2 linked regions of the Oryzias latipes genome follow. The protein of the gene in region 2 interacts with the protein of the main gene of each other region in a biochemical or structural test. Links are inferred from orthologs where the notes say so. Each region holds a gene or a part of one and is shown on either strand. Other genes may lie near its edges.

The links. The genes of interacting proteins can lie anywhere in the genome.
Region 1: the proteins of eif2s2 (region 2) and eif2s1 form a complex in vitro, tested with the Homo sapiens proteins (2 studies listed by BioGRID and IntAct). The link is inferred for Oryzias latipes from reciprocal best matches to the Homo sapiens genes EIF2S2 and EIF2S1.

What each region holds. Positions count from the first base shown.
Region 1 is NC_019882.2:5,867,018-5,872,499, forward strand, and holds eif2s1 (eukaryotic translation initiation factor 2 subunit 1), read left to right. Parts: upstream 1-1,663; 5' UTR 1,664-1,841; intron 1,842-2,747; 5' UTR 2,748-2,749; coding exon 2,750-2,990; intron 2,991-3,100; coding exon 3,101-3,180; intron 3,181-3,248; coding exon 3,249-3,400; intron 3,401-3,473; coding exon 3,474-3,580; intron 3,581-3,650; coding exon 3,651-3,748; intron 3,749-3,841; coding exon 3,842-3,985; intron 3,986-4,584; coding exon 4,585-4,710; 3' UTR 4,711-5,110; downstream 5,111-5,482. Other genes in the region: atp6v1d (V-type proton ATPase subunit D), read right to left, coding at 1,454-1,494; RNA-binding protein 25-like, read right to left, coding at 5,391-5,423. UniProt on the Homo sapiens protein: Member of the eIF2 complex that functions in the early steps of protein synthesis by forming a ternary complex with GTP and initiator tRNA. This complex binds to a 40S ribosomal subunit, followed by mRNA binding to form a 43S pre-initiation complex (43S PIC).
Region 2 is NC_019865.2:7,389,425-7,395,118, forward strand, and holds the start of eif2s2 (eukaryotic translation initiation factor 2 subunit 2), read right to left. Parts: upstream 3,395-5,694; 5' UTR 3,279-3,394; coding exon 3,264-3,278; intron 2,521-3,263; coding exon 2,340-2,520; intron 2,240-2,339; coding exon 2,127-2,239; intron 2,035-2,126; coding exon 1,902-2,034; intron 1,834-1,901; coding exon 1,733-1,833; intron 1,566-1,732; coding exon 1,417-1,565; intron 1,308-1,416; coding exon 1,251-1,307; intron 1,153-1,250; coding exon 1,067-1,152; intron 412-1,066; coding exon 236-411; 3' UTR 1-235.

The DNA.
Region 1 (5,482 bases), on a different chromosome or scaffold from region 2:
ATCTGTTGGGTTAAAATAACCTGCAACATTTGAACTATTGAACAAGGAAAGAAAGACAAACAGACCAAGGCTGCAGAAAACGCCTTTGTTTATACAGACACTTATTTATGTGCTGCACAAAATAGTTCCCAAACAAAAATGTAGTGATATTCATGGAAATCTAACAGCGCCCGTTCATGTTTGGTGTTACACCCCCCCCCCCCCCCCCCACACACACACACACACAAACATACACACAAACAAAATCTTCCGGCGGGCGCCGTGTCACGCACTCAAGAACGCACGCAGCTTGTAATGGAAAGGAATAATTAGAACGCAGTAAATTTGTCGTATTTCCTGGCAAGACAGAAACTTCTATTGTAGAATGAGGATGTGTGTGTGTTTCTGAAACAGCGCACGTGTTTGTGTGTAGATAGAGTGTGCACGTGCTGCATGCTTCTCAAAGAGGAGAGAAGGACAAGAGTGATAAAAGGTTTCCCATAGAAACCCTTGAAGTCTGAACACAGGACTAGCAGAAAAAGTAGGGCATCACCGCACCTTTTTTTTTTTAAAGGTTTTTTTTTTTAAGTTTTGCATTACTGATAAAAATATATATATATACATTTTGTGTGATTGTTGAGCCATTCATTTATGAAATGTAGCTTTTATATATTTATAAGGATTGAATAATAACAGTGTTAAGATCTTTTTTGTAAATAACTAACGTTTAACGTACGCGATCCTTTCAAAATAAAATACATGTGAGTGTCAAATACGCTCCTCCTGCTGCATCACCTTTACTTGCAATTATAAGAACTTTGTCACTAAACAGCAAGAAAACAATATTGTGCATCTGAAGATAAGAATATGTGCTTTACACTTATTCTAAAAAAAAAACTGCTCTGACACATTAAACCTTATGACATCTGCCTGCTTTTTCAAAGCCAAAGAGCCAAAATGGAAGAATAAATGAGCTGCTTGTGGCTCAGGGACCTCAGGTTGCAAACCTCTGCTCTGATGTCATGTAGGTATGTTATTAGAACTCTGACAGAAGGGCAAACACACAAATTTAACGTTTTTTTTGGTCTGGAAAAGAGTCGCCAAGCTCTAAATTTGAAATGCAACCAAATTCTCGGTATTTGTTAATCTCAAAAACAACTATCTAATTTAACACGAATTTGAGTCCCCTTGTATGAGCTAAAGCAACATTTGCACTGGAACAGGTTTCTTCAGACAGAAAAACCTGTGAGTGACCAACGCAAGATGTTGGAAGCATCACATGACACACAAGGCGGCTCCTTCCTCTTTAGCGTCCAGACAGCACGAAAAGTCGAAACCATACGTGAGAAACACGTTTATGTAAGAATCAATCACAAACAAATAACCGATAATCAGCTAAAAACCCAATGAATCAATGAAATAATGTAGTTAAGCTAAGTGAGTTAGCAACTAGCAAGAAAAACAAGGTGCTTACATCCTGGACGGGAAAACGTCGATCCTTTCTTTTCCAGACATCTTCTCGGCTTTTGCAGGATACGATCTGAAAACGGGGCGTTGTATAAAAATGTGCTAAACAGACAAACAAACAACCGTCTTCATTCGGGATTAGTTGAAAGACTAAGGTAACTGCCGTGATCTTGTTCGTCCGTGATGATCAGCTGGCCTCTGGTCATGTGACTGCCCCAAGCTCGCACTGCACATGCGCGAAGCGATAAGCGCTCAAGATCTTTTCCGGGTCGAGCAGCTAGTCCACCTATGAATGCGAGCTAACGGCCTCAAATAATTAGCTGAAAGAAGTAGAGGGAACCAATATTTAGAGCACATAACATTCAAGTGTGTAGTTCTGTAAGCCCACGACACAGGTGAGTTGTTATTGACAGAAAAGAAGTTCGATGTTTAGCGTTAAAACAGGCGGTAGTCACAGCTAGCTGGCTAGCAGTTAGCCGCAGCTACATTGCACGCGCCACACGTGAACCCGGTGGTTAGCCAGGCAGCTAGCACGCATTAAGTCAATCCTTTTGTGTTTAAATAAATATCGTAACTCTTTGTGATTGATTGCGCATAGATAGGCACTTTCAAGTAGTCAAAGTGACCTTTTACTCGTTTGATAAATGCCTTGTTTTGGTTCTGTTCGTGCTTGTTTGTCCGCATTGCATCATTTTTATTAAAATATGAAACAACGAAAATAATGGATATTTAAAGCCTTATTAGAACATTACTAGATATATTTTAACAATATAGCATTATGTGTTATGGAAGAATAGATCGTTTCACTTCCTAGAGGAAATTACAGGATCTTAGATTCTACTTTATGGTGGTAGAAATTCAAATTTTTAGGCAATTCAAACTAAATTGACAAGTTCTTGATATGACTGATTAAAAAGTAGATACATATTGATTGGTCCATTTAAATGTTCATCCCAAACAGATGGTTTTTCTTTTTGCTGTGTTTACCAGAGCTAAAAATCCACTTTCATGCAATCCAGTCAGTATTTTTCTTAGTAGTTTTCCTATAAACTTCTATCTTAGCTATTATAACCTCAGTACTCCTTTTTATATGTTTACCGTACCTCATTTTAAATCCATCTCAATCTGGCTTTATATCACAAAAACCCAAATGAGCTCACCATTCTGTTAACATTCTTCAAACTTTGACTAGAAAATAAATAAGAATGAATTTATGCTGAACAATGAAATGAAAATGTTTCTTTTTAGCATAAGATGTGTTAGATTTGAACACGGTTTTGATTTTTGATGTTTTTCGACAGTGATGCCGGGGCTCAGCTGTCGATTTTATCAGCACCGGTTTCCAGAGGTGGAGGATGTTGTGATGGTGAACGTGCGTTCCATCGCAGAGATGGGCGCGTACGTCAGCCTTTTGGAGTACAACAACATTGAGGGCATGATCCTCCTGAGCGAGTTGTCCCGTCGGCGTATCCGCTCCATCAACAAGCTCATCCGCATAGGTCGCAACGAGTGCGTTGTTGTCATCCGAGTAGATAAAGAAAAGGGTGAGTGTTGCTGAATGTCTTCATAATGAGGGGTAAATCTTTGCAAGTGAATGCCTTTTTTACTGTTTTCAAATTCCTTTCTTATGTTCATTTTCTTCTTTTTTTTCCAGGATATATTGATTTATCAAAAAGAAGAGTTTCTCCAGAGGAGGCCATCAAGTGTGAAGATAAATTTACCAAATCTAAAACTGTATGTTTTTGTTTTTTTCTTTATGAAACCTTTGTTTTCATGCTGAGTAGACTGTCTTGTGTTTGCAGGTGTACAGCATTCTGCGACATGTGGCAGAAGTGCTGGAGTATACCAAGGATGAGCAGCTCGAGAGCTTGTACCAGCGCACAGCCTGGGTGTTTGATGAGAAGTACAAGCGGCCCGGTTATGGAGCTTATGACGTCTTCAAGCAGGCTGTGTCGTAAGTCCAAACAGAAAAGTCACAAATATATAAATACTTAACCTTTGTATAAGTTTTCAGCTTTTTCCTCCAGAGATCCTGCCATTCTGGATGGCCTAGACTTAACAGAAGAGGAGAGAGCCGTTCTGATCGATAACATCAACAGGCGACTCACTCCACAGGCCGTCAAAATCAGAGCAGGTTTGTTCTTTTTGGTCATTCCTGTTCGACAACAGGAGAACATCTTAATGACTCTGCGTCTTTGTCGTAGACATCGAGGTGGCGTGTTACGGGTATGAGGGCATCGATGCGGTGAAGGAAGCTCTGAGAGCCGGTCTCGGCTGCTCCACAGAAGCCATGCCCATCAAGGCGAGCCACAAACTGCGACTTGTTTTTTAAAATGTTCTCTGAAAACTGTTTAGGTTGTTCAACCAAACTTTTATTGTGGTCTTGTTGTCGTAGATCAACCTGATCGCTCCTCCTCGCTACGTGATGACGACCACCACCTTGGAGCGCACAGAAGGTCTGTCTGTCCTGAACCAGGCCATGGCTGCCATCAAGGAAAAGATCGAGGAGAAGAGGGGCGTCTTCAACATCCAGATGGAGGTGAGAGACTTTTATTTTGAAACGTTCACTTTTTGTTGTGCACAAGATAACACAAAACATGAACAAGAAATGTAATTAGACTCAAAATGTGAAAGGAAACTTTTCATTTGAGGCTGTCAGTATGCAATTCCCAGTCAACTATAAGATCAATTTTTGTCTAAAAATGTGGAATTTAACCGCAGCTTGCAATAATTTTAAGTACACTTAGTCAAACTGTCACTTAATTTGTTATTTTAAAAAAATTAATGATGAACTTGTATTTTTATAACCGCAAAATACCACAATAAGACGTCATTTAGTTTAACTTTAATGTTTTTCAAAACAAAAAACAAAACAACCTGCTACTTAAATGTTTAAACAAATGCCCAGAAATAGGATTAGAAATGTTATTAATTTTGCAAATGTTTGCTATTTAGAATGATTCTGAACAATCTGTGTATAGAAACTATTTTGATTCAATGTTTTGAATATTTGCTGAAAGGTCTGTTGCACTTTAACATTTACTCTTAGCATGAAAGGAAGCTGTGATCGATTTGTTCTCCATGAGCTGTTGAATTTTCTCAGCTTTAGAGTTTTTAAACTTTTCTTTGTCCCAACAGCCCAAAGTGGTCACAGACACAGATGAGACGGAGCTCGCCCGGCAGCTGGAGAGGTTAGAGCGCGAAAACGCAGAGGTGGACGGAGATGATGATGCTGAAGAGATGGAGGCCAAAACTGAAGACTAACCCCGTCGTCTGAGAGAAGCTGATGAAATGTGGACCGACTCGGCCGCAGTTGCTCCGCCCCGATTTCACGACTGAATTTTCTGGTATTTTACTAGTTTATTGGAAAACATCCCTGTTTTTAGTATCGAGAGGCAACAAAAGCAAAGCCTTAGCCAAACATGGAGATCCAGATGGTAAATTTAACACATGGATTCGAAATAAGATAAATTGAAAACGGTGGCCTTCACTCGCCGTCCTTTGACTTCAGTATCCATGGCGCTTCACCTTTAAGTCACATGATGTGACCGCCTGGAAGGAAATGCAAAGGTTTGTGTGGCAGTCGGGGAATTTGTGTGCGAGTTCTCTTCCAGTTTCAAGGTGTTATTCATGAAACCAATAAAGTTCTGGAAGTTTTGATCAAGTGTTAGTTGTATGAATTAGTTTTTCTGCTTAAGCTCCATATATTTGATGACTATAAGGTAATGAATGACACTCTACCACTAGGCCACTGAGCTTTTTTGTGTATTTCGGCAATTAAACAGAATCCAAACTAGAAAAAAAATCAATTTTAATCATAATACAAAAAAATGGAGAGTGCCTTCACAAATTCACATCAACATTCCCAGCTTCTGTTCCTATAGTGGTTGTGAGGTGTGCTTCAGGAGAGTCCCCGTCCAGGATTTTGATTCAGAAATGACATTTCACAGGATGGATGCATTTTGTGATGAGGTGGTCTGTGGACAAGAACATGACGACTTAATAGGAATCTCAAAGGGGTGGAGAGAGTTACTGA
Region 2 (5,694 bases):
CACTCAATCTTAGTGAATGTGACAAACATGGTGCCTTTACCAAAACTGGTTTTAGATACATTCCCTCTCCGCACGAAACCTGGTCCAGCAATGACAACTAAAGGCAAACTCTCCCACAGTTTGATTCAGAGAGTCCTTTTAGTAGATCAAAGAGGGGCAGCCGACCCCAGCTTCGGAAATTCTTCAAAGAAAGAAACAAGCCAAGAGAAGACGGGGAGCCCAGTAGAGACGGCCTTCAGTTGGCTTTGGCGCGGAGCTGTGCCCTCTTGCTAGTCACAGCCTGGAAGCCGGCCTTGATGCTAGCCACGGAGCAGCGGGAGTGGCAGGTCTCGCACTGCAGGAAATAAAGACGAGTGTCCTTCTGCAAGATGGTTTCTGGAGAGCGGCAGGTGTGACATGTCACATATTCCTCTGCAAAAATTAGAAAAGTTTCAGTTATTTAATGCACACAGAATGTGATTGGTCTAGGTAATGTTAGAAACTCACAACAAGACCTATGTTTAGTAAATTCCTTTGTGAAAATTTTTAAAATGCTTATCTCCGAACTCCAAATACCTTTAATTCATTATTAGTTACTGAAATTTCTCATGCTGGTAACCCTTTAATACTGGAAATGTCACCGGTGCCACCTAAAGAACATGTGCTCTCTGACATACCGTAACTCACTGACCATTCACTTCACACAATCACCGCGAATCAGCTGATTCTGACGCAGAGAAAGCGGCTTTTCATAGTGGCTACGCACTGATATGCAACACATTACTAATGCTAAGTGCTAAATAACTGTGCAAAGCCACTTTTTTCCAAGACAGAATCACCTGATTTATATCGGCTGGGAAAGCACGTCACTGCTGTAAAGTGTTGTAGATCTGCGGAAGGCTTTAGAATTAGCTTGAATTACCTTATGGTAATTGCATAAACGGACGAAGAGTTACAGTAGTTAGAATAGAATACTTTAGAATAGAAGGTTTTATTAATCCCAATATGGGGATTGTCAGAAAGAAGGCCAACACCGGAGTTTTAAAGGGTTAACTCAGCTGTAATAAACCACAAACTTTAGACTTACTGATGTATCTTCTTAACACATTTTCAATCTGTTTCTGTTGAAATCTGCCTTTGATCACCAGCTGATTATTTCCATCTATGGAGCCGCTGTTTACAGACAAAAACATTTGTTTTTAGAAAAACAGACATAAACTGTTTGTACCAAAAAAAAAAAAAATTACACTCAGTTTATGCTTTCCAGATACCTCGTTCCCAGCTCAGCCAGCAGAAAAGCGAGGAGATGTTTAGGCTGACGATGCAACCTGTGTTCAAAACGAATGACACGCCAGTTTTAGAGTTACGTGGGAAAAAATAAAAAAAATAAAAGGAGAGCGAAAAAATAAAATAAAAAAAGGAAAGTCGGATGCTAACAGTTTGCAGATGTCTGTGAAGTTGACAAAAGAGGTTTTTTTGGTTCCCACTCGGACCACTTGAGGAGGCTTCATCACAAACTTCCTCTTCTCTCCGGCCACCATGTCCGGGTTCTTTTCTCTCATGATGTTGAAGACTCTATTTAGGAGCTGAAAGAGACATGAGTTATAGGGTTGAATTAAAAACAGGGCAAGATCCTAACATTGTTACCAAAAAAAATTGTATTTTGAGGGGTTTGATGTTGTTAGATTATGCATTTGAGGATACGAATAGCAAGATTTGCAGAACACATCTGTACACTCTGGGTGATTTTTACCTCATCGTAGGTGTAATCCCTTTCTGAGCCTGCCCAGGCAGGTCCTGTAGAGGAGCTGAAAGAAATCCCATCACTGATCTTGCTCTCATCATCTTCCAGTGCTGCAGACAATATCAAAATCACAAACAGCTTCTTTATGTTCATGTGCCAAACAGGAATTGATGTCTACCTTCATCGTTTTCCAACAACTCTTTCCCTCCTTCATCAAAGTCACTTTTCTTTGGCTTCTTCTTTTTTGTTGGAAGAACCAAATCCAGGTCCTCCTCTTGCGCCTTTGTTTGTTCGCCTTCAATTTTTAATTCCTGGATTTTTAGAATTGAACAGAGAGTTGAATTAGAGAAACATGTAAAGATGCTGCAGAATATGGTACTGGTTGGAGAAAAAGAAAACTCACCTTTAATTCTTCTTCTAAATCATCGAACACTTTTTTAGGTTTCTTCTTCTTTTTCTTCTGGTTGGCAAAGTTCAGGTCATTCAAATCATCCGATGGTTCTAAAAGAAATTTAACTGATGTCAAGTAAGTAGCGTGCAGTGAAAATCTCAAGAACAATTCATAATAGTGCAGCTGTAAAGTCTAGTTCAGCTTGAAAACATTCATTTTGCCAACCTTTCTTCCTGCTTTCATCTTCTTCTAGATCCACTTCTTTCTCTTCAACCTCTGGCTCGACCTCCTTTGCTTCTCCCTCTTTCGCCTCTTCTCCTCCTGCGCCCTCTCCTCCTTCCTCATCCACCATGAAAGGCTTCTTCTTCTTCTTTTTCTTCTTGGTCATGTTAGGATCAAAAATCATCTACAAATGAAATGAGGGGGGGGGGGGGTAAAAAAAAGAAATCAGTCATGAGGCCGACATCATACCTACAAAAATTTGAAGTTTGACATGGAGAGTAATTGTAGTTAATGAAACCCGTTTAAAAATCGGACATGTTTGATCTGGGTTAAAACATGATTATTTTACCAGCATATCACATAGCAAGTTAAGCAGTTCAGGCAGGCTGCAGGACACAGAATAGTTATAAATACGTGACATCGGATTTCCTGTTATTTGTGCTCTCAGATTTCCATAATGGCAGAAGAGTTGTAGCAACTCTGTTATCTAAATTAGTTACATAATGTATTTAAACACAAAAGGTAGTTGTGTCATCGTCTGTTCTTCACAGAACAGTCGGAGTAGCTTGGGCTTGCTAACACAGAAGTGACTGTCGGTTAGCGTCGCGCGCTTCGCTAACTACTAGCTAACATTAACTTCTTTTTTGTATCAATTAACTGGTCTTTTCGACGTTGAAGGTTCCATAAGGGTGGATCTACTAGTAAATATTTAACAAAAAGCGGTGAGCTGGACATTTTCTTGTTTAATTCGTCTGTCTGGGCCGCTGTTAGCCCAGCTGCCACCATGTGAGAGTTGCCGCTGCCAAGGGGAATCGTGTGGAGCCAGGCCCCACCTCAACACCAATCGGCTCCTAAAGTTCCGCTAACTGCATCCCAAAAGTCACGGCACTGACAGCGAATAATGGTTGATAATCAAAGAAGACTCACCTCGTCTCCCGACATGTTTGCACAATGAAAAAACGATACAAATCACAGAACTTCTTATCCTTCGACCAGCCTCAGATCTCCGCGTAAAATTTCTTGCATCAGCGACGGACCACAGTGCGCAATCGCAAAGAGGAGGAATTTTGACGTCTTTTCTTTGCGACGGCGCATGACTCACGTCACCCAACTAGAAAGAATTAGCAACAATATTTGATGCAATACAAAACAAACTGTTGCAACTTTTTAAGGGAAATAAAAATGCTGTTCCATTAGTCAAAATGAATTAGTTTGTAGTCAAATTTTGTCATTTTTTTTACTGAAATTTTATTTTTTTCTATGTATATCGCAATTGAAGAATATTGTTAAAAACCAAATCATATGATATTCTCAATATTTTAGGAAAAATGTAAACAAACCATAAATGTTTTTTTATTTATTTTATTTTTAATAATTATTTTCTGATAATATTTGTGTTACGGGGTTGAAACAGTTGAAGATCGTGACAGGGTTGAAGGGACAAATATGGACCTATGTATAGTTTCTTAATCATGAAATTCAGTGTTAGGACTTTCCTTTATCTTTATGTATATAATGATAACTAATTAACCATAAGAAAATCAGACTCAAATTGAAGTATGACGTGTTTCAAAGCTGTGAGTGTGAAGGGTGGATATTTTCCCTTGGATTCCTTCTCTGCCACTCACACGAAACAGAAATTGTGTTCAGCCTGAAGCAGAATGGCAATTTCCATTGTAATAAATGATCATTTTTTAAAATACTTGCGTTATCAAACAATCAAAGTTCTTAAATCTCAACCTTGCCACAGTCTCTCAACCCCGTTGCACTAAAACACAACAGAGTGGAGTGTGACTGGGTTGAGATTTTTGCACAAAATGGCTGCTGCTTCATGTACTGAACATTATGAAGAGGTCATGAAGTTCAGATTTAACATACTTATTTAAAAGACTAAAACTACTTTGCAAGTAGAAGTTGTCCATTTTATTTACATGTTACGGGGTTGAATTACTGAGTTTGAAAATCAGTTTCACAGAAAAAATGACAAAAGATTAAAAAATAAATAAAGGCAAGAACTGGGCCCCCTTTGATGTCAAGTGATCCAAAAGATTCTAGTTGTTTTTTGTTGTTTTCTTTTTACATTTTTTTAATTCTTTATTAGAACCCTAATCCTAACCGTACAACAGAAATAAATAAAAAGGAAAATAATTAAAATGGAAATAAATAACATTAGAATTGTAGTTCACAATACTAGGGATTGTCATACATCATATGGTCTTCAATGAAAATGGACAGTTTTGTTGCATTTTTGTTTTTCATGAATTTCAGCAATTTAATATATAAACAGATCTCTTTATGAAACGTATTAAATAATAGTTCGGTTTTTCAAAAATCTTCTCTTATGAATGAAGACTTTCTCAGAAATTAAGTATTAAATGCCAAATCAAATCAATGATCTGCAGAAACTACTCCAAGTAATGAAGTATGTTTTGTAACTGAGTAGAAATAGGAAAAGGAAACTTTGAGGAGTACCAACAAATAAAAAAATCCTCCCTAAACCTGTTAACATTCAATAAACAATAAACAGATGCAAACAATTCAATAAACAGATGATCGATTGTTTCTATATTTATGTCACAGAAAGAACAGTTATTTTCTGGAAAACCAAAACGTATATTTAGTAGTTCCTTGCATGGATAGACTGCATTCATAATTTTAAAATGGATTTCTTTGTATTTTAGAAAAATTGGATATTTAATAAACTGAGATCTTAACTTGCATATTTCTTCTTTTGTGTAATGCTGTGACATAGAATGATTTTTGTGAGATGTTGGAAACAGATCTCTAACAAACAAAGATGGTATAAATGAGTTTGGAAGTTTTTAGTTAAGCGGTCGACCATCAAACAACAGAGATGGAAGCTGAACTTGAACATTTTGAACCAGACTAGAGGACATTTGGATCAAATTCTGAGGGATTGCTTTCATCACATTGTTGTATAGTTTTCTATCATACAATTTAAACTTACTGGAAAAAGTTTCAAATGAGATCATGTTTCCATTATGATTCATAATGTGTAATAATGACCAAATACCGTTATCAATCCAATTTTTGTAAAATATTGATTTGTTCCTACACAAAATATTCTGAAAGTTCCATATGGGATTGTTGTGTGGACTAAAGTTATGTTTGAATATGAGTTTCCAGTACAGTAACACCTGCTGATTATAAGTAGAAAGTTTAATAGGAAGTTTTCTGTAATCAAAGTCACATTTTAGAAGGAACTCAATGCCCCCTAGATGAGAGAAAATGTTTGAAGGAATATAAAACCAAGGTTTTCTTCCATTTTGCATAAAAAGCCTAACCCGATTAATTCTAATCATACCATCCAAACTTTTAAAGTCTATGGCTTTAAGTC